Diceros bicornis minor: one gene and its partner. The protein of the gene in region 2 interacts with the protein of the main gene of each other region in a pairwise test. Links are inferred from orthologs where the notes say so. Each region holds a gene or a part of one and is shown on either strand. Other genes may lie near its edges. The genes, in order: NPHP1 and BCAR1.

What was found.
Region 1: the proteins of BCAR1 (region 2) and NPHP1 interact in a two-hybrid assay, tested with the Homo sapiens proteins (2 studies listed by BioGRID). The link is inferred for Diceros bicornis minor from reciprocal best matches to the Homo sapiens genes BCAR1 and NPHP1.

The regions. Positions count from the first base shown.
Region 1 is NC_080779.1:17,505,004-17,520,663, forward strand, and holds the start of NPHP1 (nephrocystin-1), read right to left. Parts: upstream 6,178-15,660; 5' UTR 6,171-6,177; coding exon 6,102-6,170; intron 3,523-6,101; coding exon 3,449-3,522; intron 1-3,448. Other genes in the region: MTLN (mitoregulin), read right to left, coding at 12,995-13,165. UniProt on the Homo sapiens protein: Together with BCAR1 it may play a role in the control of epithelial cell polarity. Involved in the organization of apical junctions in kidney cells together with NPHP4 and RPGRIP1L/NPHP8. Does not seem to be strictly required for ciliogenesis.
Region 2 is NC_080771.1:25,782,262-25,797,846, forward strand, and holds the start of BCAR1 (breast cancer anti-estrogen resistance protein 1), read right to left. Parts: upstream 6,859-15,585; 5' UTR 6,760-6,858; coding exon 6,748-6,759; intron 1-6,747. UniProt on the Homo sapiens protein: Docking protein which plays a central coordinating role for tyrosine kinase-based signaling related to cell adhesion. Implicated in induction of cell migration and cell branching. Involved in the BCAR3-mediated inhibition of TGFB signaling.

The DNA of each region.
Region 1 (15,660 bases), on a different chromosome or scaffold from region 2:
CAGCAAAGAAATACGTTAGGCAATTCCTCCATTTTACCCTCCCTGATGCAGCACGTAAAGAATCCTCCTCCTTTCTGCTTTTAGATACTGATGCTGCGGACTTGGTAACAGTGAGGGGGGCCATTCCTGACAAGCTGAGGATGACGAGGCAGAAGGACGGCAAGGGCGGGTCCTTGAGGGCATCAAGAGCACCGACCTACCCTGGGAGAACCTGCCCCCAGACTTTTTGTTGCATGAGACTGACAGCAAAGCCACTCGCTTTAACAGATGTCCTGTTACTTGACCAAAAGAATCCTAACCGAAACTTAGACTCAGAGATTTCATGTAAGAGCCAGAGTGGAAAACTATTTTTATATACTATACAAATAAAACAAATTATTTATTATAATTATCTCCTTCCTATCTATAAAATTATTAAAATCCTCAAACTGTTCAGATATTTTAAGACTTTTGGATTAGGATAAAAACTAAGCACATATTCATCTTCACTGCTTCCTGAAACCCCCACAAAAATGATTAAAACATTTTAAAAGGTAATGTACCCTGGACACAAGAGAATGAAAGAGGGACCACCTGTCAATAAGAGATTTCAACAAAGGTCTGCTGCATGGAAAAAGGATGGAACCATATTCTTCTATAAAGAGAGGAAGTAGCCACACAAGCATAAGAGGGACATGATCTGCCAGGCAGAAAATGCCACCATTTGGGTCAGCAGGTATGAAGGACAGAAGGGTTGACCAAAGTGTGTCCAAGGCAGTGCATTATGAGGGTCTACAGATGAAAAGACACGCACAATGGCTGGGGTTTGCTTTCTATACTATATTATGTAAATTAAATAATATCCATAACATCTAAGCTATTAAGAGGAAAATCAGCCTTAAGACAATCTCAGGTCTTTACATTATTCAGGGAAAGAGGAAAGATACCGATTAAGTTTAGATGTAGTTAAGGCCCTTTTATAATAGGTCTTTGACTTTTTAAAAAGTCTATTTTACAGAAAACCTGACAGCTTCCCTTTCTCTTACCTCATCCCTCTCTACTTACCACAAGGCCCTTCTAAAATTAATGAACGACCTGGAGAGAATCAGACCCAGGGATAAACCTGTGCTGGCACTGGGGGCTCCTCAGACTAAAGGCTAGTTCTAGGCCCCTGAGAAGCCCTGCCCGTGTACAAAGAACCGCATTCTCATTCAGAAGACAGTACTAGTAGGAAAGAGACCTACACACAACAGCAGAAGAACCCGTGACAGCTCCCTAGAATAATCAACCTAGTCTCTTATTCTTAAATAAAAGTGGATAACCCAAGGACCACCAGGCATAATAAGGAAAACCAGCAACATGGAAGATAAAATTTAAAACTAACCAAAAGTAAATAAATAAATAATCTGAGCCCAGAGGAACCAAAGACAACTCAGAGAATAGAAGAGAACTTAAAAAACAATCTCCTAACACAGAAGTAGGAGATAATCTGAAAACATGATGCTATGAAAAAAGATCAAGGAACAAGAAAAAACACTGGTAAATTAACAATATGGCTGCTGAAATAAAACATTGCATAGAAAAGTTAAAATAAACAGTCAAGAGAATCTTCCAGGCATAAACAAAAACAAAGAAACATAAACCGTTAAGGGGGAGATGAGCAATCTAAGGAACAGTCCAGGAGATTAAATACCTGACTCAAAGGTGTTTCAGGAAGAAACAGACAAAGAGAAGTAACAAATAATCTTTTAGTAAAAGAAAATCTCCCAGAACTCATGAAAGACAAGAATTTTCAAACTCAAAAGACCCACTGAGTGTTGAGCAGGATAAAAACAATACCTGAATACATCTGAAATTTCAAAACACTAAAGCTGGAGAGAAAAGCCCCAAACAGGTCAATGATAAGGCAATGATCATCAAACTTATCAGCATCACTGAGTGTAAAGAAACCTGACAAGGCTTCAAAGGTTTAAGTAGACATTATTTTTACTCCACATCCAGCCAATTATTAATCAAACATAAGGGCAAAATGATATTTTCAGACATGCAAATGTCAATGTGCATTTTTAAATGACTGTGAGGGGATCATTTTATACACAGAGAAGACTATTTATGGTTACTTGGGTTTAAAAATAATTATTAGTTTATTAAAATAAAATTTAAAAACCTAGATTTCCCTGGGACTTCAAATTCAGCCTATAAATCTTATTCTATTTTTAAATCTAGTAAAGCAAGTGCAATCACCTTCACTTTTTCTTTCATTATTGTTTGATGAATTCAACTTGAACTAAATTCCTTAAACAATCCATCTTACTCATAAATACAGTTAATTAAATTCCCTTCAACACTTTAAAATAAATTTAAATTTTATTTTGCTTTTAACATTTTGAATGCCTGACTTAAGTAAAACTTTCCAAGTGATTCTAATGAATCATTTAAACTAACAGAATGAATCTCTTGTTCTTTTGAATGTTATAAACTCTTTAAATACCCACAACATACAGATTATCTTAATGATGTCCTAAACTTAATACAAAAGCATTAAAAATCTAATTTGATTTAGTTCATCATGTCTATGGAATTTTAAACTCAATTTAATTTTAAACTCTCCCATGGATTAAAAAAAATGTCAAAACAAAAAAAACACTTACCCACCGAGAGAACAGTTTTCCCATTTCAAGAGAGTTAGAGTCACCATCCTGCTAATAGAGATTTCTGACGAGGTCACAGGATCTGGGGCTACATAGGCCAAGGGCCTATTGTAATTCTGCCTAAGCCACAGACATTCCCTCTGAACAGTTTTCATAGTTGCTGTCACAACAGCAAGTCCATAACCTTCAGGTTTAGGTTGGTTTCTCCTAGATCCAGTTAACTATGATGTAATTCTTCCATTTAATTCAAAGGGACCAAAGCCGGAAACTCCACTGAAGACGGCAGTTAAGTTCCTTCCCTTGCTTGACTGAATTCTGCATTTCTGAGCCGTCTTAAAACATTTTTATTGTCTTCCCACTTCAATGTCTTATAGCATAGTAATGTTAGATGTACTAACTAACCACTGTGAACCTTAATTTTCTCATCTGCATTAACAAGTATCTCACGCTTATTGTGAAAATTAATTAAGAAAAAGTTTTTAGAGCATGGACCACACTGCTTGGTACATACATAGTACAAAATAAACGTTAACTTGCCTCTTTTAAACATTTTTGATTCTCTATTTAATTTTATCATTTCAATATTTAGACCCAGTACATACAGATAATTGCAAGAAGTATTTTAATACGTTTTGGGAAATTTCATTCACTGTTACTTTAATATGTATCATTTCCCATTATCATTTTGTCTTTTGGGAAACTGTACTAATAAATAAAAGGAAGGAAATAGTGCCTCAAACAATTTCTAGGCTGTAAATACTGCTCATTGGAATGTAAGTACAATTCCTGGAAAGTTTAAGTAATTTAGTATGCTTTACCTTTGGTAAATATCTCGCCTTTTACTGGCTTCTAGAGCTCCTTTCAATTGACTCTCAGAAAGTAAACTATCAACCTGCAACAAATGGAGACAGTTTAAAATATCATATTGTTAAATGCCATATAACCTTAGGAAATAAAATTTTAATTCTCTTTTCCCAACATTTTATAATGAACACTTTTAAACATATAATGAAGTTGAAAGAATTTTACAGTGAACACCCGTATACCCACCACCTAGATTCTACCTTTAACATTTTACTAGACTTATTTGGTCCATCCATTCATCGATCCATCTGATTTTTTATGTACGTCAAAGTAAACCACAATCATCAGTACACTTTCGCAAAATAACGCACCATGGGTATCACTAACTCGAGTTCAATATTTTGGTGTAAAATTTACATACAATGAAATGCACAAATCTTAAGTATACATTTGCTGAGGTTTGGCAAATGCATATATCGGGGTAACCCAAACCCCTAACAGCATATAGAAAATTACCATTACCCCAGAAAGTATGTACTCTTGTGTAATCGTTTCACACCTCAGGTTTTTGAGATACTTTCATATTGCTGTGTGATTACTAGTTTATTCCTTCTTATTGCTGAGTAGTATTCATTGTAAGAATATACCAGGAATTTGCCTATCCTCATTCTTATATCTTGTTATCTTGACCTGTTTTTTCCAAACACTACATGTAACTTTGCCAATGTACCCACAAAAGAGGCACACACTTCTTTTGGGGGTTCTTTTCTATAGATGATGTGGAGGAAAAAAAGTGAATGAAAAAAAGAGAAATAGAAGTTCCATAGCTTCTTCTCTACTCTTCTATTTTGTATCTATATAACTGTTATTTACAAAATTCGCACACATCTAGTGACAGAGTCAGTCAACACAGGCATGCCCCAGATGGGCTCTTGATTACTTGTCCGATGGACATCGAGTTGGAAATCTGTCCTGTGCCCTCTGTGGGGACAGGGAAGAATTAGCTCACACTATCCAAGAGCCCTTCCCAAACTGTCAAACGGTTCCTGAGCCAATTCTTTTCCAGGCTGAATAATCCTTATAATCATTTGTTTGTTTCATCTTTGTTTTAATAATAACTTTTGTAGTTTACTTCTGAAGCTTTTCCTGGTTCTCCCAATTGCCCAACAAATTTAAAATTAGATACGGCTAGCCAAACCTCAGCAAAAGTCAATGCCTCCTCAAGTTTTACATTTATTTCTACCAGAAGAGTATTTTTGTTGCCCCACCATAATTCCAATAGAATCACTTGAGAAATATTTATCCATCAAATCTTTTGTACTTTTTAAACAAGAGTCCAAAATTGAATAAAATATAAGTGTTCAGTAAATTTCTTGTCTGCCAAAGATTATAAAATAATTTTATTTAGTGGAAACTATACTCGGTAATAGATCAAATGAAAAATAAAAAGTAAAATTAGTAAAGAACAATAAGAATTTCAGAAAATAAATTAACAATTCATTAATTACTAGTTTTTTCTTATTTTTTAAAGTAATATACATTCAGTATACAAAATTTTGAAAAGATCAAAAAGTATGAAAAGAAACACAGAATTACCATTTTGGCATGTTTCCTTCTATCTTTTTTCTATGTATATTATATATAGAAAAAAACTGTATTACTGTAAATACTGTATATTCAACTTTATATTCTTTTTCTAACTTAACATTTTATCACAAATATTTTCCCTAACATTAAAATCTCTTTAACAAAATTTTAATCACAGGATTATTAGCCCATCATAAGTTACTTATCCATTCCCCTATTACTGATCATTTGAGTTGTATCCAGTCTTTTCTACTATAAGTAATACTGTGACGAGCACTTTTATACATCAATCTCTGTCCCAATTTTTTTATTATTACCTACGGTAAATTCCCGAAAATGTAAGTACCCAGCCTAGGAGCATGAACATTTGCTACACCTTGTCAAACTGCTTTCCAGAAATGCTGTGCCTTATACATCGAGGCAGTGCGTGTGAGTACCTGTTTCATTACACCCTCCCCATACTGAGTATTGTGATTTTTTTAAATGTTTGTGATATCTTATTTCCTTTACAATTACTTGATTATCTTTGAGGATAACATTTCTCACGTTTATGAGTTACTGGTATTTTTTCTTTAGTTCATGTCTTTTGCTCATTAGTCATATCTTAATATTTTTCTTACATATTAGGACTATTCCTTGACCCCTACTTCGCTTGAGTTCATGTGAAGCAACAACCGCAGGCGGCTCAAAGGAAAGGGGGCATGGCGAGTGGAGAGATGTTGGGCGCAGAGTTGGTTGGAAACGGTCACCGTTAGAAGTTGAGATTCGAGGTGAGCGGCGTTAAGGGCTTGTTAGTGTTGGAGCTTGAGACGTTAGGGCGGGGAGGCGGGTGGGAAGAGCGCTTAGTCGATGGCCACGATTTTCCGGAGGTACAACCTGCAGCTGGGGGTTGGGTTGGGAGCGTGAGGGGCTGGAATCGGAGTTCGGTGCCGGGATGCTGCGGGGTGTTACAACGCGGGAAGGTAAGTGGGTTGGGGTAGGTTCCCGGGCTTGGGGTGCGCCCCGTTTCTCTGGCGCCCGCCGCCAGAGCCCAGGCCGCCTCGCGGTGCCCAGGTCCCCCGCGGGACAGCCGGACGGTACCTGTTGCTTCAGTTCCTGACTGCGGCGCTGCAGGGCCTGGAGGGGACGGCGCGGCCGCCTCGCCAGCATCTCCGTCGCCAGGGAAACCAAAGCGGCGGCACCGGAAGGTGACGCCATCACGGCGCCGGAAGGTGACGCCATCACGGCGCGCCCGCCGCGCGGTGCCGGGGCCGGGCAGGCGGGACGGTGGAGCTGCGGGGACAGTCCTCTCCGGCGGTGCCACCCGCCACCCCCAGGTGCTGAGCCCTCAGCTCAGGGTGGCTGCGCAGGCCGTCATCTTTAGTTTCCCTGCCGATTCCGAAGGATTGGAGTGAGGGGTGCCGCAGAAGGCCCCGCGGCGGGCGAAACGACACGTCTCAACGCCTCAGTCTCACCACGGCGGTTGTTTTCTGATAGCACTTCTGCTACACTAACCCTGGAATACAGTTTCGGCATCCTAAAACTCTTTCATTAACTGCAAGGATAGCTCTCCTGCGTGACCTTCACGGGATGATGCGTGGTTCTGCTGCGTACTCCTCACGTCAAAAGGCAGTTTTTAATTCTTTGCTGTTGGAGGTCGTGCTGACGTTTCGTTTCGCGCTGCTTCTGCACGCTGTCCTGAATTCCGTGAGGATGGTGATTTTGTCTGTTCTACAGCAAGCCTGTGAGCAAGGAATGATGAGCCCCGTTTTACATCGACTCTCAGGGAGAGCGTAATGACGTTTCCCCAAGTGGGACTGAATCCTTTAAATCCAGTTCCCAAACTCTTTCCACTTCGCCGAATAAGAATGATGATGATCTGAGCTCACTTTGCAGTTGATGAACCTCGCTAATACAAGTGAATGTTCTTCAAGACAACACATATGTTGATTCCACAGGCCCCGCTGCCTTACTGTTCATTTATTTACGTACTTTTTCCTTCAAGGACAATAGAGAGGGACAAACCACGTGTCCACCTCGCTGAATTTTCACACTGAACAGACTCCCCCCACCCCACCCCCAGCCCCCCCCCCCGCCCCATGTAACATAACCCAAATTTGGATACAGAACGTTACCAGCACCCTAGTGGTCTTCCTTTCTCGTAGTCTCTTAGTCCCTACCTACTTCCACCGCCTACACCAAAGGGAAACACTGTCCTAACTTCCAACAGCAAAAATTTGTTTTGCCTCTTTTAAAACTATAGAATGAAATCATGCAGTGAGTATTGGCTTCTCCACTTCTTTCACTCAACAGCACGTCCGTGAGATGCAGCTATATCATTGTGTGTAGTGGTAGTTTGTTCGTTCTCATTGCTTTCTGACATTTCATTGTATGATACACCCTAATACACTCACTCATTCTACTGTTGCTGGGCATAGCATGGGGGTTGTTTCCAGGTCAGGGCTCTTATAAACGGTGCTGCTATTTACACATATACATACTGTGAACATATGTACACAGTGCTGAGCCGCAGGGCATGTTCTATATTCAGCTTTAGTAGATACCGCCTAGTTGTAATTTACACTCTACCAGGAGTGTGTGAGTTTTAGTTCTTCATATCCTTGACAATGCTCGCTATTGTCTGCTTTTTTGTAGCTCGTGTCTTTATTTTGAATTAATTTCTCCATTATGGTTCATGATACTTAAAAGTTCACTTAAATGGCCAGACATAGTATTTCCATTAAAAATGCTTATAAGAACAAATGAGAAAATAATGAGTGCTATAAAATACTTTTAAATGGATTAATAACTCAGACTTCTAAGCAATCTTGTAAGAGGTCAGCAAAAAAGAAAAAAAAGTGCACTGAAGACAATCCACCATTTATGAAATTCTTATGTATTTTAAATTAAATATATGTCCATAAATAAATTAGGAAAAATATTCTATATCTGATTTATAGGCATTTCCAAATTTTAAATGGAAAAATTACAGGGTTATGAATATAGTATAATTCTGTGTTGGTAAAAATAAACTAATAAGCCCCCTAGATATGTGTGTATGTATGAGCAATGAGGAAGAATGCAAAAGTTTATTACTCTCGTTCACCTCAGGTGGAAAGATGACTTTGACTTTATACATTATGGTACCTTATTCAGAGATACAAGCATGTATTCGAGTCCTGGATCAGCATCATCAACATCACCTGGGAGCTTGTTTGACATGCATATTCTCAGGCCCCACCACAAGCCTACAAAATCAGAATCTATGGTTTAATAATACCCCAATGTTTCATGTGCACGTTCAAGTTTGAGAAATACTACTTAGGTATTTAGTATGCAATAAGGGATGAGATTACTCGGCTAACTGCCTCCTTTTTCGTTAATTTACATTTCTTTTGACTTCTTGCAATGCTCAGCATAGTCACCTTGATGCTAGTCATTGCTTCTGTTGTCGTCCCTTGAGGCCATTATGAAAATCAAAGTAACTAAAACAAGAAAGCTTTGCAGTGAGGTAGCCCAAAGACACCAAAGCAAACCATGGCCACTGTTTCTCTTGAGATCAAGCTACTTCATAAAACTTATGATTTCCTTCCATCAGTGTTAACATGAATATCAATTTTGTATTGCGTCCTCACGGGAGACACTGAAAAAGAATTTAAAGGCTTCCAAGAGATTCATAATGTAGAACTAGTAGAACAAGGTGGTTAGAAACCAACCAACAGGAGATTGATTATAGCAAAGAGGATAGAGACATTTTGCCATTTCAGGGTCTTCAAGAAAACAATCTACTTCAAATAAAAGTGACAAATATTGGGCCAGCCTGGCGGCGTAGTGGTTAAGTTCATGTGCTCTGCTTCAGCGGCCCCGGGTTCGCAGGTTCGGATCCCGGGCGCGGACCTATGCACTGCTCACCATGCTGTGGCGGCGTCCCACATATAATGTAGAGGAAGATGGGCACGGATGTTAGCCCAGGGCCAATCTTCCTCAGCAAAAAGAGGAGGATTGGCAACAGATGTTAGCGCAGGGCTAGTCTACTTCACACACACACACACACACACAAAAAGTGACAAATATTTATGAGCACCTGTTGCAAAGCACTGGTTGGACCTGTGGGACAAGATGTTTAAGGTGCTGGCCTCAAGGAGCTTATGAGCTAGGGTATCAGACTAGAAACGTGAAGTTGCACTAACTACAAAAGATTGTCACGGAAGTATCACCTCGTGTACAGAATTCCCTGCCAATGGAACTGTAGACAATTGGACACATTGCATTTGAGTTCTAGAGTAAAATCATTCAAAGAAAATGTCCACTACACAGTTGAAAGTGTGAAGCTGGAATTAAAGGATCAGGTGGGATACTAAGATCTTGGAGGGGGCCTGCTTGGATGTGATAGTTGAGCCTAGAGAATGGCTGGGGTAGCCAAACGAAAGGACAGAGCAGAGGACCAAGGATTGAAGTTTGAGGAACTTGGAAAAGGCACGAAGAGTAGAAGTTTGGAAACTCGGGAAAGTTTTGTATTATTAGGGAAGTGAGGGAAGGAGAGTTTCAAGGGAGAAATTGGTATTACCAAATACTCTGGAGGTGAAAAGTAAGGATTCAGAAATAGCTAATAGCTATCAATGGCTCTGGAGGGTGCAAAGCGCAGACTGCAGCAGGTTAACAGGCAAAACATTTGGGAAGAAAGTGACAGTGGACCACTTTTTCTAATTAACAAATGATGGGGTCAACTAAAGGGATTTTTTTAAGTCAAGATCTGCACATGTTTGCAAATAGAGGGAAAGCAGAGAGTATAGATGCTAGAAAGAGATGGTTTACTAGAGAACAAAGAAAGTCCTGGGGGGAGATGCAGAATTCAGCTGAGGCCAGAGAGGAGTCACCCTTGGAAGGGTCTGGTGCATCTTCTCTTCTGAGAAAGGAAAGCTAATGAGACACAGCCTCAAAACCAGTGGTTTCAACCTTGGCTAAGCATCACAATCACCTGGGGAGCTTTAAAAATCCTAATGCCCAGGAACACCCCAAACTACATAAATCAAAACCTCTGGGAAATGGCATGCAAGGATTTGTATTTTTAAAGCTCCCTAGATGATTATAATATGCAGCCCTGTTGAAAACCATTGCTCTTGACTAACTATTGAGAGGAAGAGGAGACATGAAGGAATTCCCGCCTAATGGCCTTGATCTCCTCATATGGTTGAGAGCAGTCTTCTCTGAATAAAAGATGTCAACTGGGAGTTCAAGGAACACGGAGAAACACTGCTGAGAAACCAGAAGGGTGCAGTTACAATTAGAATGCACTTGTGGTAGCCAAGGGAGAAAGGGGAAGGGTCTTTCTCTGCTAAGTTTGGAGGCCCAAAAAGAGAGCAAAAGCAGCGGTGAAAGGTAAACGTATAAGCGAGAATGGAGTCTAAGCCAACCAGGGAGCCCAGCAAGAGTGATGAGCTGAATTGGGAGGATGGGACAAGCAGGGGTCTCAGAGCAGGCGGTTCCATAAGTGCAGACAGGGAGATGTGGAGAACGTGAGCTGTCCTCAGAGGAAGGTTTACCAGCTGAAACCAAAGAGGCCAAGTACAATGTGACGATGAGGTCCAAGCCTGGGACAAGGTCCACGAGACAGCTGAAGCAACGTGGAATGCAGCAGGAAGCCTGAGGAGCCCAGTGTGGAGGAGAAAGAGAAGCAGGGTAGGGAAGTAAAAATGGGCCACTAGAGGTAGCTCCTGTGATTAAACGGTGACAAATGGCAGGGAGGAGTGTGAGACATGTATTTCAACAAGTCAACAGGGTGTCATTTCCAGGGTACATGACTGGCATAACCCGTGTCCCAACCTCCTCATTGCCAATTTTGGCTAACATGGAAAAAGTAACATCTCCATGTGAGGCACTATTTTCAGGGAAAAAAACCAAACACATTTAAGCAGGGCCAGGGGTAGAGGGCTAGAGGAGAAACGGCGACCAAGGCAATGTCAAGGGGAACTGCCACCACAGAGCTGGGGATACACAGACAGTGTAAAGGCAGTAAGCAGAAGAAGGGAAGATTGAGTGGCATGGGGGGGCTGAAAACCACATAAGGACCTAGACAGGATGGGGGCGGGGGGGTGTGAACAGCACATGCCTAGAGGGGCAGGGATGACAGAACACTAAGGTGAGACAGGAGGAAGATGAGTGTGTCAGGGCTCGCACATAAGTAATGGGAACGGAATCAGCGTTGGAAAGGCCAGGTCCACCAGGAATATGGCACATAAATACGCCCAAACAGGCAGAACTGGTCATAACCCAGAGGCTTAACCAGACACATACCAACAGCATGGGGACACCATGGGCCTTAAGAAACCCACTTTGTCTCAAGCAGCCTCAACTCTTTGAGCCTCCATGAGGAATGGTGACTAGGATACTTCAGCAAACTGCAGCCCAGACGGGATGGAGGTCTAAGAGCCAATATTTCAGTCCTAGAGTACTTCATTCACAGAATGAAAATAAAGTTGGAAGTAATAAAGCATTTTGGTCTCAGTAAAATGGAAGAAAAAAAAAAACAACAGCTTTCTGTGGAACAACTTATCTGAATTTTCTTACGTTAATATAGAGCTGCTATTAAATTGGCTAAGACACAAAATTACTCTTTATAGGAATGAGGGTAGTGTTTTAGAAAACATCTTTTGCAAATCAAAAATAACCAGGGACTTGGTCCCTCACTCTTGAATTTTAAATATAGTTTGGATTTATCACTAAGCTTTATTCAAGCGAGTTTCTCCTTTGCATGTCCATTCCATAATGACAAATGAAGTTTCTGCCAATAAAAACTTATACTCTGTACTTGGAGTTACGTTGTGTCTCCTGGAAGTGTAAAGATCCTATATACATCAGTTATTACCTCAGTTATTTTTATACAGCCTCTTGCTTTCCTGAACAGGCGCAGTAAAAGAGCTGACCAAAAGGACTCATAATGGTCCCTAGGCCAACTCTGCTTTGCTGTTGTACCAAGAAACTAGCATAGGTTCCTTAAGAAACAAGACATCTGCTGGAAAGCACTAATATATCAGTTTTGAGAATCGAGATCTCTTGATGCAGTAACCTATATGGCAGGCAAGATACTCCTTTTCCTTTTAATAAAAGGTTCAAAGATGTTTAAAATTTTTTTATTTTAAAAATAAAATTGATTCATAAAGTGCAAGGAAAAACATTTCTGTCCAGTGGTCTATATGCATCTTCGACAACCTGTTGGAAAAAGAAAAGAGAAAAAAAAATTTAGAAATACATAATGGTTAATTTCAAATCATTCTCTTCTATAATACTCTATTATAATTTCAAATTATTCTATTCACAGTTAAACCATGAACTATAAGGTCTGGTGTTAACAGACAAGAACACTGAGACCCTGAAAATTTGCACAGCTCTGATTAAAAAAAGCCAGGACTAGATACAAGGTTCCTGACTTCCAGGCCCCTGCTCTTTCCACTTTAGCAGCCTGCCAGTAACCTAAGAATTCAGATTGAAGATTCCAAAACGTGAACGGAACGATGTACTACGGTGCTACCAAAGATACTACTGAAAAGAACGATAAGGGGGAGAAAAGGGTGTCAGGAACACCTCCAGGGTCCATTCTTTCTTGTTCCCTTTCGGTCTTTCCAGTATTTTCCGTTTTGAAGTTTAATGGTGTCAAGGTGCAGCAACACTACACGTGGTAAGACATTCCCATTAAACACACGCAGTGATCTAAAAATACGACACCCAAGTGTTAGTTATTAGGGAAAACACAACCTCCTCCTCCCTCCGGTGTCTGCGGGCGCAAGTCACCTCCCGCGAGCCATCCAGCGACCCCCTGCCCCAAGACACGCGCCCGGCTCCGCGTCTCTCCGTAGCGCGCCCCTGTAGGTACTGCTCACCGACACTCCGGGAGGAGCCGGGCTCGGCAGGCGGAGGGAGGCAGGCGGGCCCGGCGCGGCGCCGGCCGAGACCCCGCGTGGGCGAGGCGAGGGGGCCGGGCCCGAGGGCGCGGGGCGTCAGGTCAGGTCCAGCTTCTTCTGCGTCACCGCCAGCTTGTCCTGCAGCCTCCGCTTCCTCCAGTCCAGATAGCGCCTCCGCAGCCGGTTGGCCTGCCAGCCCACGAGCACTCCGGAGGCGAAGGCCAACAGCACGGACAGCTGCAGTGTCCTCTCGGAGACGTCCGCCATCGCGGCCCCCAGCGTGCAGCGCGGCCTACCGCGCGTCGGCGGGGTCAAACGGCGCAGCGCGTTCACAGAGGAGGCCCAGAGGGCGGTGCGTGCTGGCGCGCACGGTGGGTCAGCCTGCAACTTGCAGATGCGTGGGACTCGCTCTCTTTTTTTTTTTTTTTTGTGAGGAAGATCAGCCCTGAGCTAACATCCATGCCAATCCTCCTCTTTTTGCTGAGGAAGACCGGCTCTGAGCTAACATCTGTTGCCAATCCTCCTCCTTTTTTTTCCCCAAAGCCCCAGTAGATAGTTGTATGTCACAGCTGCACATCCTTCTAGTTGCTGCATGTGGGACGCGGCCTCAGCATGGCCCGGGAAGCGGTGTGTCGTGCGTGCCTGGATCCAAACCTGGGCCGCCAGTAGCAGAGCACGCGCACTCAATCGCTAAGCCACTGGGCCGGCCCTCACCGTCTGTTGAAGGCTTGCCCAGCCTTGGATGTCCCCATGTCTCCTTCTTCTGAGCCTCTACGGTGTTTATGGTTTGACATTAATCAGCTACTGCCTTGCATTTTTAGCTGACTTGAGTGGTGTGTCTTTCCTGCTTGTGATTTTTCTCAGTAGTGGAATGCGAGCCACATGTGTAACTTTAAATTTTCTGGTAACCCATTAAAAAAAAATAAACAGATAGGAACAGATGAAGTTATTTTTAATAATATTTTTTTACTAAGCCCAATATATACAGGATGTTATCATTTCAACATGTAATGAGTATAAAAATTATTAATAAGACTTTTTTATACTAAGACTTTGAAATCTGGTGTAGATTTTATAATTAACAGCATATCTCAATTTGAACACTAAATTTTCAGTGGAGGTACTTGATCAGTATCTAGATTTCATAAAATTTAGTTGAAAAATTAGATTCATACACTCACGTTCTTCCAGAGACACATAAAAATTTCTCTAATGACTGGAGACAAAAATAAAATAACTCCAGTAAGTGTTGAGCGTCAGTTTTTAAATTAAAATGAAATTTGGTAAACTTTTTTTAAAAAATTCTGAATTTGCTTCTTCAGTCACAGTTGTCACATGTGGAGCTAGCTGGCTACTATATTGGACAGCACAGGTCTAGAGGGCCATGCTATGCCAGAACTAACACTGAGTGGCCTCTAGGAACAGCCAGATGCCTCATGCCAACAACCAGCAAAAAGCTAGAGCCCTACAACCACAGGGAAATTAACTCTGCCCACCACCTGAATAAGTTTGGAAGCAGAATGTTCGCCAATCCAGCCTCCAGATCAGCCTGGCTGATGCCTTGATTGTAGCCTTGTGAGAACCTAACAGAGGACCCAGGTGGCTGGACTCCTAACCCATGGAAAGTTGATAAGTTTTTGGTAATTTGTTACACAGCAATAGAAAACTAATATAGCCGTGAAAGGGAGACCAGCAGGAGCCTGAACTCTTTCAGATGGAGGGTCGTACCTAGCCTCTGAATAGACATCAGCAAATAGACTTTCATAATTGAGGCAAAATGTATCTTAGTAGGGAGATGATAAAGACAACATTGGGTCCAATGTGAATTCACCTCTGCCATGCTTAATGTCCCTTTATTCAGCAACTATCTATTGAATGCTGCAGTAGGCGTTGGGAATGTAGAGGTGAATACAGCACAACATCTGCCCTCAGACAGCTTAGTGCAGTGAAAGAAATGGAAAAAAAAGAATTAGGACACGTTCTGATGAATTGGAATATATAGTCCAGTATGTAGCTTAGACTTAAAAAAAGGAAAAAGCCTCAGAAACATTCTCTCTTTCTCTTATACTCTATCCAAGCTATCGATCAATCCTGTTGGTTCTATTTTCAGAATATGGCCAGAATTAAACCACTTCTCGCCCCTTCTCACTTTACTGCTACCATTGGGTCCATGCCACCGTCGTCTCTTACCTAAGTTACTGCAATAGCCACTATCAAGTTTCTGTGCTTCTATATCTGTCCACTGCGTTCTATTCTCAATATAGCAGCCAGAGTGGGCTTTTGACATCAGAAGTCCAATCATGTCACTGCTCTGCTCAAACCCTGCAGTGGCCAAAGCCCCTACCGTGGTCCACAGGGCTCTGTGTAATCGGTTCTCTTCCATTCCTTGCCTCTCACTGGCCTGCTCACTGTTTCTTGAGATCACAGGCATGGTGCTAGCTAAGAACATTTGCATGTGCACTTCCCCTGCCTGGCATACTCTTCCCCCAGAAAACTGCATGCCTAACTTCCTCACCCCCTTTAGGTTTTTGTCAACTGTCACCTTCTCTACAAGACCTACCTGACTATTTAAAAATCACAAACCCAAGGGCCGGCCTGGTTGCGTAGCGGTTAAGTTCATGCACTCTGCTTCAAAGGCCCAGGGTTCACAGGTTTGGATCCCAGGCACAGACCTACACCACTCATCAAGACATGCTTTAGTGGCTTCCCACGTACAAAATAGAGGAAGGTGGGCACAGACGTTAGCTCAGGCACAATCTTCC
Region 2 (15,585 bases):
GGAGTGGCTGGTTCTGGGGTCTACCACTGTACTTATTACAGTGTGATGGTCAGTCCTTTGGCACCTGCCCACTGAGCAGCAGCTGGGTGCTGTACTAGGACACTGCTGTGAAAACGTGTCCATGTCGCAGGGAACTTAGACTCCAGGGTGTGTGCATGGAGGGGACACAAACTGACAAACACGGGAACATCTGTGGTGATAAGGGCTCTGAAGGAGAATAAAGCAGACAACAGAGGAATGGTGAGGGGCTATTTTATACCAGGTGCCTGGGGGGTCCTCTCTGAGGAAGTGGCATTTGAGCAGATGTGTGAATCTTTTGCTAAGGCTCATTATGCAGAAAAAAATAACAGTAAAGATTTGTAAAAAGCGCACAGGCCTGCCAACTCCCTTGGCGTGAAGAGGGAGCACAGAGGTGTTAGGGACACAGAGGGTGGCTCTCAAGCAACAACCCCCCACCCCCGGCTTCTTGAGTGGTGGGGTGTCTGCCAGGCTGGGAGCTCCCAGAGTTGAAGGGGGAGCAGCAAGGGGTGTCTGTGTGGTGGGGTGTCTTGAGGGGAGTAGGCAAAGAGGGGGAGCTCAAGAATCTATCTGGACCCAGGAGGGTGGAGGGATGCAATCAGCTTCCAGGACAGACTTCACGCTCTCCTACCTCCTGATCTCCTAGAAGTCTCTCCCCACCAGGACCTGTGGAGTGGACAGGGGTGTGGGGAGAAACACAGGGACTCAAAAACCTAAGACGCTTCACCTCCCGGCAACTCAGGAAGAGGGAATTCAAACCCTAGACATCTGGGCAGGGCTGTGAACAGGCAGGCGGGTGGTCACACCACTTTCGGAACAAGTATGTAACTTTGGGGGGTCCAGCATTTGGGGGACAGACAACTCTCTGGGCATGCCTCGAAGCACACATCATGGGAGATCAGGTTTTATAAACACTGAAATAGGGTATTACACCACCAGCACCAGCGCTCCAGTACTTAAAAATACACAGCATACAAACACTAGAGACAGAGACCCGTCAGTAGGAGAATGGATAACTACATACATTCACATTCATAAATGGAACACTACTCAGCATGGCCACGAAGAAAGAACTATTGATACATATCACGTGGATGAAAATCTCAACACCATTGTGCCGAATGAAAGAAGCCAGACCCCAAAGAGTACATGCTTCCACTTATACAACATTCAACAACAGGCGAAACTAAGCCAACGTGGGAGAAATCAGAATGTGGGCCACCTTACAGGGTGGGGGACACCTGACTACAAGGGACACTTGCAAACTTTCTGAGATAAGGGACACATTCATTATCTTGCCTTGATTGATGGTTACATGGGGTCTACACTAGTCAACTGTACACCTAACATCTGTCCATCTCACTATATGTAAAATCTGCCTCAACAAGAGAGTCTCAACTGGTAAAAATAAAACAAAGCACAGAGGAAAAAATACATGGCATTAGGAATACCAAAGATAGGTATTGTAATCCTAAACCCACTGTGTTACCCTTTTTGCCCTGCCTGGCAGGAAGCTTAAAGTTAAATGTGTATGCCTACCTTCCCCATACATTACATAGTTCTGGATCTTTTGATGATCCCAGACTATTTGTGTCTTTCACTATAAGCTGCTTCAAATCCTTCTTGGAAGTTGGTGGGGTTTGTTTGTTTGTTTGTTTGTTTATTTATTTATTTATTTATTTATTTATTTTCCCCCAAAGCCCCAGTAGATAGTTGTATGTTATAGTTGCACATCCTTCTAGTTGCTGTGTGTGGGAGGCGGCCTCAGCATGGCCGGAGAAGCGGTACGTCGGTGGGCGCCTGGGATCCGAACCTAGGCCGCCAGCAGCGGAGCGCACGCACTTAACCGCTAAGCCACGGGGCCGGCCCCGGAAGTTGGTGGGGTTTAAATAATAAATTAAAATTAGTGAAAAGCCCCCTCAGCCTCTAATCTCCCTTAGAGAAGGGATTATCTTAAGAGCCAAAACATGTGACCATCTCTCCTGCCAGAGCAGGCATCAACTGCCACTTCTACCAAGGTCCCCAATCTGTCCCCAGCTCTTTTTCTTTTTCTTGAAGAGAGGGAGACAATGGCCCAGCAAACAGGGACTAGGAGGGAGCCAAAGAAACAATGGGGATCAACTAGGATGCAGTCAAAGCAAACAGCTGTGGTCAAGGCAAGTCAAAGGCTGGGGAGGCAAGAGGACCACAGAGGGAGAAGGAGACAGGAGGGCAGGCACAGCTGACTGTAGGAAGCCCCATGCCCAGCCATGGGCAGTGGGGGTCAGCGGGTGCCACCCTCACAGCCTTGTGGCCCACCTGTCTCATCCACAGGCCTGAGCCCCCTCCATTAAGGTTCCGGGACCCGCCTCAGGGGTTCTCTCCTTCCACTGAGGGCCCTGCCCGTCCCCTGCTGACCAGGCTGCTGCAGACCACACCCGAGGACAGGCCTGCACTGCCTCAGTGGCTTCCACTACCTGCAACTCTGTACCCACTCCTGGGGGCACCCAGAGCAGAGCATCCACCCACACAGGGCACAGGGGGCCAGCTGGTGGCCCCACTAGAGGCCACTCTGTCAGTGGGGTGAGGACAAGTACCTGCCCATCCAAGGCTCAAGATGCAGGGGTCCCACAGGCAGGTCGGGGCAGGAGAGGGGCTGGGTCATCCCACCATTAAGGCCTTGGCGGGAACCACACTGACCACAAAGAAAGGGCCACTGGAGGCAGACTGGGCAGGCCACAGAGAATTGCCGGGGCAGGGGGCTGACCACCTCTCGCCAGGCTGGTTGTGCAGGAGCCAGGAATGGGTCTTGGCCACTGCATCAGCCAGCCGTAGCAGGATAAAGATAACAACCTCAACAACAGTGGCCGCTATGATTTATCAGCCTTACTAAGAGCTTTCTGCAACCCTCGCCAAGTTCTCACAAAACCCCAAGAGCTCGTACTGTTAACATCCCCATAACATAGACAAGGAAACAGGTTCAGAGAGGTCAGTAACTCGCTCAAGGTAGAGATGAGCCATCACCATGCGTTCTAGAGCCCTTGCCCTCGACCCACCAAACATGCTTCCCACCCCAAAGCAGTCTTTCTGGGAACCCCACTCAGGCCCCAAAAAGGCTTCCAAGACAGCAGCTCAGACGCCAGGCTCTCTGTATAGGGACACCGCCATGGGTCTGTGGGGGCTCCCCGGTGCTCCCGGGACCACATCCTCTGGAGGGCGGCCAGGGCAAGCTGGGGCAATGAGGTGGAGAGAGAGGGGCCAAGCAGGCCTGCACCGCCTGGGTCTACCCTGAGGAAGCCTGCAGTCTGGAAAGGGAGCCTGCCAGCAACCAAATAACCCACAATACACACACAGTCACACATGGGGGTCCCAGGGGGCTTCCCAGGGCCATGCCCTCTACCTGAGCACTTGAGGGTGAGCAGAAGTGACTGGAGATCACTTCCTGCACAAGGAGGGCCAGGCGGAGCCACGGCCCGGTGGGACAAGGGTATGTGGCGGGAGGAGTGTGCCAGGCACTTTGGGGACTGAACTAAGGACTTTGGACTTGGACATGGCCTCTTCCCACTGTCCTCTTTTGAGCCTGTTCTACCAGGCCTCAGCTGCCCAGAGCCTGGCTGCCCAGGCCGGCGGCGAGCCCAGGGCAGAGGCATCCAGCTCCCTGCCCAGCTCTCCTAGCACAACACTGGCTGGCACAGAGTCAGGCACAAAGTGGGCCCCGGGATGCTGGTGGAGGTTCACTCAGGCGCCACGCCTGGGCCACTGATCTCCATTGCCCACTGCTGGGGCTGTGCAGGGCTAGACTCACCCTGCTACAGAGCCCTGGGAAAGCTGCCTGGCCTCTCTGCACTCCCACTGCCTCATCTCCCAGGGGTGCCGAAGGGGTTACACAAACTCATGCTTGGAAAGCCACAAGAAGAGGGTCGGTCCCTCAGCGAGGTTGGCCTCTGTGGACGGCTCTACAGGCCACAGCCCCCACAATTAGAGAGACCACGCAGGGCGACGCTCACTTTCAGGCTTTGGATCCTGCCCAACTTGGTTCCCACCCTGGCTCCATCTCTCAGTGGCCATGCAACCCTGGCAAGACACAGGTCCTCCCTGAGGCTGTGACGTCCTGAGCCCAGTGCCTGGCACTCCACACACGTCAGCACCTTCACTCCTTGAAAGGACCCGTCCCTCACTCAATAAAGGAGCAGAGGAGGGGCTGGAATGGCTGTGCCCATTTCACAGACAGGAAACAAGAGGCAGGAACAGACAGCAAGGAACTTCTGGCCTGATAGTGCCAGGGGACAGCCAGCATTTGTCACTCCTAAACACAGATCATGCCAATGCCCACCAGGGGTCTGAAGTGGGTGGCACAGCCGTTTTCCTTTCGAATGCTTCCTGCCTGCCCAGAGAGAAGAGACAGGCCTGGGGCGCCAGATGGTCATGCCCAAGAGGAAGGCAGATGTCAGAGAACAGTCAGGAAGTGCGTCTCCAGGTGCTGCGTGAGCACTGCCCTCAGCTCAGGGTAGAGGAAGGAGCACTGAGCAGGGAGTCAGGAGGAGCCTGTGTGCCCTCCCCTCTCTGGGCCCAAGACCTCCTGTGAGACCAGCTGATCCCTGGAGGGTGCCCCTGTTCTAACACTCAGGAAGTCACTCCTGGCTCAACCTGGCCCATCCCAACCTCTTCTGTCCCCGCCATCACCTCCCATTCCATTCTGAAGTATCCTGTAATTTCTGTGGGCCAAAGTGCCTGCGTCAGCCCCATCCAGGAAAAGATTGCCCAAATGAACGGGTGTGCTTAAAACCCAATGTGTCCTGAGCACCATATGGGCAATCACCATTCTCGGTTCCAAGAGCAGGGCGTGGCGTGGAAGCCTCCAAGGGGCCTCACCACTCACCAGCACATGAAAGCAATTTTTCAAACATTTCACGGCTGCTCCAAAAATGAACTTCTCCTCCCAGCCCCATCAGCTCACACGCTGCCCAAGGTCTCAGGAGAGAGCCAGGATGATCTGACAGCCAGCCACGTAGGGGGCAGATGGTGAGACATCCCCACCCCCACCCCCTGCAGAATCACTGAGGGCTGTGGCTGCAGGTGGGAAGGTGGGCAGTGACTCGGAGCTGGCAATGGTGTGGACAGACCGAGCAGACATTGGCTGCAAGTCTCCACAGCAGTGCCTGTCTGTCCAAGTCACAGCCAGACCCTGGCCCTCCCGCCATCCCTCGCTTGTTACAGATGGGGCCACTGAGGCACACAGCCCAGGAAGGCTACCAAAGTCCTACAAGGCAAGGGGTCTGGTTGCCACCCCAGACTCCATGTCCAGATCTCTGCTGTGACTGGGGACAACCAAACCAATCAATGGCTGACCTCCCAAACTGAGGCCCGTCCAGGCTCTGATGTGGCCTCAGTCACATTCCCTGTTCACCACTGCCCTGGAGACCCAGGACCTCAAGCAGACTCAGGTGGTCCACCTTGTCCCTCCGGCCAGTGCCCACAGGGTCAGGGCAGGTCCTCGGGCCAGAAGAGATCCAGAGTTTTGCAATAAAGCAGAGCAGGAGAGAAGAAGGGGTTGGCAGGCATTTTCTGTCTTCTTTCTTTCTTTCTAAAGATGAGGCAATTATGCTCTGAACCAGAACAGATGGGGGGGTCACATCGGCACGGTCTGGAAGCCCTAATTTCTTCATCTGTAACTCTGCATTACCGCTTCTGGAGGCAGGCAGGAGCCGGGATCTTTAATTCCATAATAACAATGCTTCGCACTTACACAGCATCTCTCCTCCAGTAATCTCCACACACTCTATGGTGGTTAATTAAGAAGCCACTCACCCTGCCAGGAAGCCCCAACTGTCTGCTTCAACATAAGGATCAGGTTCCCTAGGTGAGGAGCAGTTCCAGAAACAAGGCCAGGTAGAGGGGCGCCCTGGCCCACCGCCCCTTGCTGTCAGAGGGAAAAGCCCCTAACTCAGCAGTGAAACAATGGCTAGAGGCCACAGCTTTCCAGCCTGCAGAGGGCGCCCCTCCCAGGCAGGATGCAGCGTTTCAGCCCCCACCTCAGTCTGTCCATCTGTAAAGCGGGCATTGACTGGGGCCTGGACCTGAGGCCTCCTGACAGGGGTAGCCAGGATCACTTGTTCCCCTCAGGAGGTGGGACCCAGATGCCTCCAGATGCTGGCCTAAGTGTGGAGCCAGGCCTGGGGGCTGCCCAAGCCTGCCTGCTGGGCCAGGCAGAGGGGGTGTTAGGTGAGAAGAGAAGCCCCCTGGCTAAGAAGCAGGGAGGGGCCAGGCCCGGCGCCCTGGGGTTCAGCGGCAGAGGAAAACTTCCCGAGAAAGTGAGTGCATCAGCCGTCCTGGGTGGGGGGGTCTTGGGGAGCAGCATAGACCTCTCCCCACTAGGCCTGGCCATCCTGGTGGGGGAGGAGGTCCTGAGGGACTACACGGACTCCTGCCTGGCCCAGCTATCCCAGGGGTTCCCCGGGGGCCAACAAAGAACCTGCCAACCCAGCCTTTCCGGGGGGCTCCCTGAGAGAACAGCACGGAGCCCAGCCCGACCCGACTCTCTAGGGAGAGGATGAAAAGAAAGGCAGGGGCAGAGAGGCCGGCTTGGGGGAGACGCCCCCACCTGCCCGCATCCCCGGCCCGAGAAGGCCCAGGTGGGGCGCCCCCCAGCCCGGGAGCCCCAGCGGCATTAGGCCTTCAGCGCGCGGCGCGAGGTCGCAGGCCCGGCCGGGGGCAGCAGACCCCGGGTCCCAGCCGGCGGTCGGTACTCACCGGCACAGACATCTTGGCCGCCGCTCCCGGGGCCCGGGCGGGCAGCGACGCCGGCAGGCTGGGGGCTCCGGTCCGCCGCGCAGCTCAGAGCCCCCGCGCGGGGTCCGGGGCTGTCCGGGTCCCCGCGGGCTCCCGCTGGCTCCCGGCGGCCGGACGGTCCGGCCGCTCCAGCCGCTCCAGCCCCCGCCGCGCATGCGCCGCCCCACGCCGCCCCTCCCCCTCCCGTCTCCTCCACCGGGGGCCGCGTTAAAGGCGAGGACCCTGGACCCCGGCAGTTTTCTGTCGGCCCAACGGGGCGAGGAGGCTCGGTCTACGCCCCTTACGCATCCTTCAAGGGCCACCTTGAGTCGCACCATCTCCTGTTCACCCAACCGGTTCTGGAGACCAGAACCCCTACCCCCCGCTTTGCCCAGCCCAGGGTGCTGGGAGCCTGCCCTGTGGTCCTGGCCGGGCTCCCAGTCCCTGTGTCTGAAGGCGATTGCAGGTCAGCCGAACACGGCTCCTAGGAACCCTTCCCACTCCCTGGCTGAAAGCCCAGAGACCCCCGGTACTCCCAACGCAGCCCTGCCCAGAGTTCCTCTGCCTGCTCTGCGCTCCCCCCACTGCCCCTCCCCCAGGGATAGGGAGCTCCCGACTCCCTGGGAACAGCCTGACTCATTGTCGGGTCACCCTGACAGTCAGAGATGGACTGGCTTTTAGGGAGGATCCTGTCTCCTGGTAACCCCCACTCATCGGCCCACCCACAACCAAGCCGTCCCTGTGCCAGGGGCCAGCCCTCAGACACTGGAAGACAGGCATTAGCCGCCAGAGCTTTCCTTTCCCAAGGTTAAATATCCCCAATTTCTTCAGCTGTTCCACATCTGACATGGTGTCCAGGCACCTTACCCACAGGCAGGGGGCACATACATGTGCGTCCTAATTTCCCCACCCCCCTGCTAGGTAGGCTTTGCTGTTCACATGTTACATTTAACAGACTAGCTCTGATATCCCTCAGCTACTAGAAGGCAGAACGCTGACCACTCTGTTCTGCTGCCCACCACATACAGGCTGTCCCTGCTCCCTGGGGGCCCTTCCTGGGCAAAGCCAGACAGGGGAAATGGCTGCTACTGCCCAGAGAGAATGAGTGAGCACCTAGACCAGGGTTCCAGGGGCCAGGGCAGTGGACACTGCTGCCCACCCAGAGGAAGAAAGACAGAGCCAGTTCCATGAGGCTGGCTGGCAGCAGCTGTGGCTAATGGTAGGGACCTGGGGGACAGACAGACAGCTCCAGCCCCCTAGGAAGTCTGTAGGGGCAGGTGCCCAGGGTGCAGGCTCTTTCACCTGCCAAGTGTGCAGTGCCAGGAGGCCTAAGGTGACTGAGCAGAAGGAGGAAGCAGTGACAGGTGCCAAGTGGGCTTCCCCAGAGACCCAGGTCTGGCCCCCAGCTCCCTAGCTCTCAAAATCTCCCATTTGCAGATCATCTTTTGGGGTTTTGGAGGCTTTCCAGTCTTCCTCCCCAAGAGGTAGGGTCCCTTGGTCTTTCTCCTGGCGGGTCCTGGGGAGAGTCCTAACAGCGGCCACCAGCAGTGAGAGGGGTACTAGATGTGCAAGAAAGGGGGAAATTGAGAGCTGCCATGAGGCCCAGGTCCTGGTTCTAGGACTGATGAGCTGGGGTCCCTCCCTGCTCCAACTGAGCAGCATTGCCCCCCTTTACCCCTTGAGTGGGGGTTCCCAATTGTGTACCTCACTTTCCCCAGCCCAGTGCTCGGCAAGGCATTGTTGGAGGGGGCAGGCAGGGCCACAGCAAGCAGAGGGGGGTCTGGGCCGACAGCTGCCACCTCCTCAAAGGGCGCTCTGTATGTGTCTGGCAGGCAGCCCTGCCCGTGCCCACCCGCCCGCATCCAGCTGGCACAGGGGCTCCTGAGCTGTGAGCAGCAGCTCAGCCTGGCACCCGGGCTCCCAGCCACACACGGCCGCTGCCCCAGAGGCCCCCACTGCCATGCTGGCCCCCTCCCTCACTAAGCCTGCCTCCTGGCACTCAGGCTCCTCCTCCCTCCTCTCCTACTTTGGCTGGATTCTTTTCGTCCACTGTTTCTGTCTTCTCTCCCATCGGCCCCATCTCTAGATGCTCCTGCCAGAACTGGTTGAACAGCGGGGAAAGACCCCTTCCACACTGCTGGGCACAGGGAAATGGAAACCCAGGGTAGGGGTGCAGCTGGGGCCATGACCTCCAAACCACCTAGTCCTTGCCTCCAACTGACCCCCAACAACTGCTTACGGCTGCTCACTCAGGGAGGGCATCACTAACTCATCTTTTAGTGCAGAAAGAAGGTTCCCTGGCCAGACCCTCACTTACTCTGATGCAGGGACCCAGGGCCTTGGGTATTGGGTTGGGGGCAGCCAGAGGAGCCCCGTCAGGGCACTGAGCGCCCTCCCCTGAACAAGTACCAGGTGTCTATGAAAGCAGCAGATGCTCCTCTCTCCTCTCACCACTTGCCTGCATCCCCTACTCTCCAGCAGGCAAATGATCCCAGGATGACTTACTCAGTCCTGCAGAGAACAGGCTCTGGGGGCCTCACGACTAGCAGTTCACACCAGAAGTAACAGCTGGGAGGCCTGAGCAGGCACCAGCCCCTGAGAGGGTCCTTGAGGGATGACCAGGGCCCCAGGGAGACAGGGGTTATTGTTGTCCCTGGCACTGGGAGGGAAGGGAATTTGGACATGGCCACAGAGTAAATCTGGGCAGAGACAAGCTTCACACCCAGTTCTCCAAACACTCAAGCCTGGCCTCTGTTCCCTGGGCCTTGCTGCATCTAGAGGGGCTGAGGCCTGGGAGGTGGCTTCTTCTCCTTCTGCCTCCCAGGGTAACTGGGGACCGCTCTGGCAGAGGGGCCCCTGGCCCAGGAGAATGCCCTGAGCCTTTGGAAGCACCTGTGGGCACTGTGTCATAATCCTACATTAGCATGGTGCATCTGTCACCATTGATGAACCAACATTGATACATCCTTATTAACTAATGTCCATACTCTACTCACATTGCCTTAGGTTTTCCCTACTGTCCTTTTTCTGTTCCAAGATCTCATCCAGAATCCCACATTACATTTAGGCATCACATCTCCCTAGGCTCCTCTGGGCTATGACAGTTTCTCAGACTTTCCTTGTTTTTGATGATCTTGACAGTTTTGAGGAGTACTGGTCAGGGATATTACAGGCTGTCCCTCAGTTGGGGTTTGTGCGATGTTTTTCTCATGGTTAGACTGCGGTTATGGTTTTTTAGGAAGAAGATCACAAAGGTAAAAGGCCCTTCTCATCACATCATATCAAGGATACATACTATCAACAGGACTTATCTCTGTTGATGTTGACCTTGATCACCTGGCTGAGACAGTGTTTGTCAGGTTTCTCCACTATCAACTTACTCTTTTTTCCCCCACTTTCTATACTGTACTCTTTGGAAGGAGTGGAGTTATGTTCCTCCTTGAGGATGGAATATCTATATAAATTATTTGGAATTCTTCTGTATGGGAAATTTGTCTCTTCTCCATTTATTTATTTATTCAATCATTTATTTATATTAGTATGAACTTGTGGATATTTATTTTGTAGTCTGGATTATAATCCAATACTACTTTATTTTCTTGCTCCAATTGTTCCTGCTTTGGCTGTTGGGAGTTCTTTCAGTTGGTGAATCAGATTTTTTCAAGAGCATCTAGAAATCTAGATTGTTTTATAAAATCTCTTGATTTTGAACCATTGACTGAGTAAGCCAAAACGAAATTCTTTTGCAGGCCAACCCCAGGCAGCTCTGGGCTCTGCAGTCAGACCTGGTTTGAATCCTGCTCTGCTCCTGGCAGCTGAATGATCTTGCACATGTGAGTTAACCTGCCAGGGTCTCGGTTTTCTCATCTGTGAATTGAGAGGGAAAACTCCCTGAGTGGTTGAAAGGATTCGGTTGAATGACTCAGGTAAAGTTCAGGGCACTAGAATCCTTGCTTATGAAACAGCAGGGGCCATCATTGCCACACACATGAGCCAGGTGTGGTTAAGCACCTCCCTCAGAGGGCAAGAACTGAGTTTGTTTCTGGAAGACCTAGAGGGAGACTTCACGGTTGGGGGTGGCTGACAGGACCCTGTGAGCTCTGGAGTGGATGAGCAAGGGAACTACCCACCCCAAGCCTGGTTTTCAACATGAGATTCAAGCTCTACTACTCTGTAGTAACACCATATTGACAGGTGGGGGAGTACCCAGAGCCAGATGTCCTGTCTTACTCATTCTAAAGTGTTAATGACTACCTCTCCCCAGGAAGGCAAGTCAGACTGGCAAGAGAGAGAAGCTCAGCTGAGTGGAGTGAATGGGGAACCCACTGACCTGCCAAGCTAGGCCTTGGTCCTGGCACTACTGCACGCTTACTTCATGACCTTAAATAAGCCCAGTTTCCAACATCCTTGAGGGTAATTTCACAGTCTCTTGAAGGTGGGTCCTGGGGGCTGGGGCAGGGCACCTCCCTGGCTGTCCCTCATGCACAGAACCTTGGGTATACTCTGCCTGGGGGGCATCTGCTTAGGGGAGGGAGTAATGTTCAGGTCATCAGGCTGCTGGGTGCAGAAGGAAACCATCGTCCCTTAGACAGTGGGGCTTCAGGACGTGGTGGCAGCGGGGAGATGCATTAATTTCTTATTGCTGCTGTAACAAATTACTACAAAATTAGTGGTGTAGAACAGCACAAATTGATCCTACAGTTCTGGAAGTCAGATATCCAAAATGAGTTGACAGGGCTGCAGTCCTTCTGGAGGCTCGAGGGGAGATTCCCTTTCCTTGCCTTTTTAAACTTCTAGAGGCCGCCTGCATTCTTTGGCCCGTTTTTGTGGCCCCACATCACTCTGACCTCTGCTTCCATCATCTCATCTCCTTCTCTGACTCTGGCACTCCTGACTCCCTCTTATAAGAACCTTGTGATGACACTGGACCCATTCAGATAATCCAAGAAAATCTCCCCATCTCATGATCTTTAATTTAATCATACCTGCAAAGCACTTCTTGCCTTGTAAGGTAACCTAGTCATAGATTCCGGGGATTCAGGCGTGTATAAGGGGGACCCCTGGCCCCCACAAACTGAACTTCCGCCATGGCTGAGTTTGGCCAACGCAGGAATCCTCTCACTCAGTTCAAGCAGCATCCCTCGCTGTTCGTGGGAATAGCTATAATGATGTGTGGCTCCAGCATGCAGTCTGGCAAGACGAGGCAAAAACTCCCAACAGGCACAGACCCTTTGACCCAGAAATTCCAGGAATTTACCCTAAACAATGCACTCACAAATGGCCAAAGACATACGTGCAAGGACGTGACTTGCAGCGTTCCTTATGATCAGGAAAACGTGGGAACGATTTAGTAATAAGCAGCAGTTAAACAAATCATGGAATATTCACACGACAGAATCCAATCCTGGGCGCTGCCACTAATGATATGGAATGACATGGGAATATGTTTACAATATACTGTTAAGTTAGGAAAACTAGGCTTCCAAATAATAGGTACAGTTGGATCCTATTTTCATAAAAAATCATATATTTATATTTATGTCATCTATTTACATTGGGAACAGTGTGGAAGGACAGATACTAAAATATCAGCTGTGGTTATCCTGGGGTGGGGGTAGGATTTTTTTCACCATTGTGTAATATTTAGGGAGGGCCTACTGGGACCTTAGTACTGTGTTGGTTAATAAATAGGGCTTTTTCTGTCTTCGTGGATTATAATCTCACAGGAGACTAATTGTTTGTTTTTTGGAGGAGGGGAGGAGGTTTTGGTGTAACTAAAATTATTTTCTCTATTTTCTAATGTTTCTCAAATGAACATTATTACTTGTGCAATTTGTTTTATAGTAAACACTTTTCAAAATTGTAGTAAAACATACATAACATGAAATTTACCATTTTAACTATTTTTAAGTGTACAGTTCAATGGCATGAAGTATATTTACAATGTTGTACAACCATCACCACTATCCCTTCCAGAACTTTCTCATCATCCCAAACAGAAACTTCGTCCCCATTAAAGAATTACTTCCCCTCTCCTCCTCCCCCTAGCCCCTGGCAACCATCATTCTACTTTCTGTCTCTGTGAATTTGCCTATTCTAGGTATCTCATGTAAGTGCAATCATACAATATTTATCCTTTTGTGTTTGGCTTATTGCACTTAGCAAAATGTTTTCAAGTGTAATTTTTTTTTCAAGAACACTTTTTGAGGGGAAAATGCAATTGCCAATTTCTAGGAAATGCAAGACATCCTGGACATATTCCTATGGACCCTCTGGGGCCTGGTGCAAGGATCTTTCCCAGGGTCAGACACCAAGTGAGGCTGGGGAGGGGGTGCAGCAGAATAGCGAACAGAAAAAGGCCCTGGACTCACACACCGATTCTCGCAGCCCCATCACCCTGGAGCAGGCAGGAGACACAGGGGAAGGGACTTGCCAGGGGCCCCCTGCCGAGCTAGGCAGAACCCGGGCTCCCACCTCAGCGTCCAGGGCCCTGGCCGATGGCCTCCTGGTCTTCTAGGATGTTTGTAAACACCCAGAGACCAGAGCCCCTTCCAGGAACAGGGCTGCGTACTTGGTCACTGTGACAAGTGGAATTTCACTCTCTGCTGGAAACAATCCCCAGGGCATTGTGTTTCTGAATCCAGGGATGAAGCCGCCTGGCTGAATAGTGTACATTCTCTAAATTATTAAAGAGCCCAAAGGAGCAGCTGCCACATTGGGGCCACCAGTGGGAGTCCCCAGAGCAGCAGTTCACGTTTTCAGTGAGGCAAGAACACCAGGCCCCCACCCCCATCAGCTGCTCTGCTGCCTGGAGGCCAAGGTTCTGCCCCAGGGGCGCTGGGAAATTCTCCCCACTCCCTGGGAGTGAGACTGACTCTTGTGAAAACAGGAAGGAACTTGCTGTAGGGAGCTGGGTCTGCACTTTGGCAAGAACCTGGGCTCCCTGTCACCTTTGACCTCCAGTGGCAGGGTGGGGCGACAGGTCTGGGCACCAGGCTGGCCTGGGTTCTGGTCCTACCCTGTGAGCTTCGGCATAGTATTTTTACTCTCTAAGCATGTTCTCATCCCATCTGTCAAATGGGGCTTAGTGAAGCATCCCACAACTCCAAGGAGCCCCATCCTTATTTTATTCTATGTGAAAACCCCCCACCGCCACCCCGAGAGTTGTGCAGTGCGGTGGCCCTGGTTCAAACGTCCTGGAAGGACTAGGATATAAGGCATATAAGGGATGGTGTGGCACCCTTCACATGGGAAGCATCAGTTAAATGCTGGGGCTGTCAGAATTGCTGACTCAAGTCTCTCCACCCTCCACCCACCAGCCTGCTGTTCCAAGGAGCTTTCTACTTCTCATGCTCCCCCAAGGCAGGAGACACCCACTCCCGAAGGATGGGGGATGGGGCCAAGGATGGGGGATGGGACTGAGCGGAGAGGAGGCTGATGCTGGAGGCTGGCCCAAATTCTGGCCTCGAAGATAACCTTGGGCAAGTTCTTTATACAAGGCCCTTGGGCTCAATGCTTGAGAGAAGGAATGTCTGGCAGAAGGTTCTAGAAAGACAAGGCTGCACATCCGGATGACAGACCGTGAGTGGGATGGAGTGATGTTCACCGTGGGACATCCCTCGAATGCCAGGCTAAGACCCAGAGACACAGTGACAGACCCAGATAGAGAAGCTGGACTTGTAGGCTCTGCTCTCCTGGCCTGCCTAGGATGGCAGAGGCTTCCTGGAAGAGGTAGCACTGAAACAGGAGCTTGAAGGATGAGCAAGAGTTCAGGGGGCCTGTGTAGGCAGCAAAGCCAGTGTGGAGAGTGGCTCCCCAAGAGGGTCCAGCAGCCTGAGCCCCACCTGCTCCTGGGGAGAGACAAACCAAGGTTTCAGAAAGCAGTACCCAGGGCCGGCCCTATGGCTTAGAGGTTAAGTGCGCGCTCTCTGATGCTGGCAGCCCGGGTTCAGATCCCAGGCGCGCACCAACACACTGCTTCTCCAGCCATGCTGAGGCCGCGTCCCACATACAGCAACTAGAAGGATGTGCAGCTATAACATACAACTATCCACTGGAGCTTTGGGGGGAAAATAAATAAATAAACAAAATCTTTAAAAAAAAAAAAAAAAAGAAAGAAAGCAGTACCCAGTGGGGAGGCCTACTTTCAAACCCCGGCTCTGCCATCCCACCTGGGCCAGTCACCCCTCTTCAGACCTCGATTTTCTCTTCTGTGCAATGGGGCAATTGTGTGGGGTGCTCAGCGAGGGTGCTGGGGAGAGATGGGTCCAGCCATTTTGAGATCCACTTCTATTTCCTTAGAATGATGTGTCTTTTTCTCCCCTGCTTACCAAATTTCTCAGTGTTTTAAGGCATCAGACTCCTGCTGGGCACCTGTTTCCTGGAGGAAACCCCGATATGGGGGAAAGGAAGCCCCCGGTAAGCAGACCTACACAGAAATATTGATTGTGTACCTAATACATGCAGGACATTGTAGGGGTTGTCATTTCCTAGAAGCAGAGCCTGAGACAGGGATTCTCTGAAAGTAGCTTCGTGAGAGAAGAGGAGCAAGTGGGCAGGAGGGAGCAGGGGAAGATCTGAACAGGGAAGTGGTGCCCTCAGCTGGAATCCAGCTCGAGCCTGGTCCCGAGGGCACTCTGGAGTGTGAATTGCACCACAGAACTGGTCCCAACTCAGGGGTAGGAGGCTGGCCTGCTAGGCTCCCGGTCGGCCACACACTGACCACTGCCTGGTGTGGGGTGGGGTGTAACCTTTGGCCAGGCAGGTTCCACTCTGCCAAACGCAATTTTCCAGAGAAGGGTAGCTGTGAGCAGTCAGCAG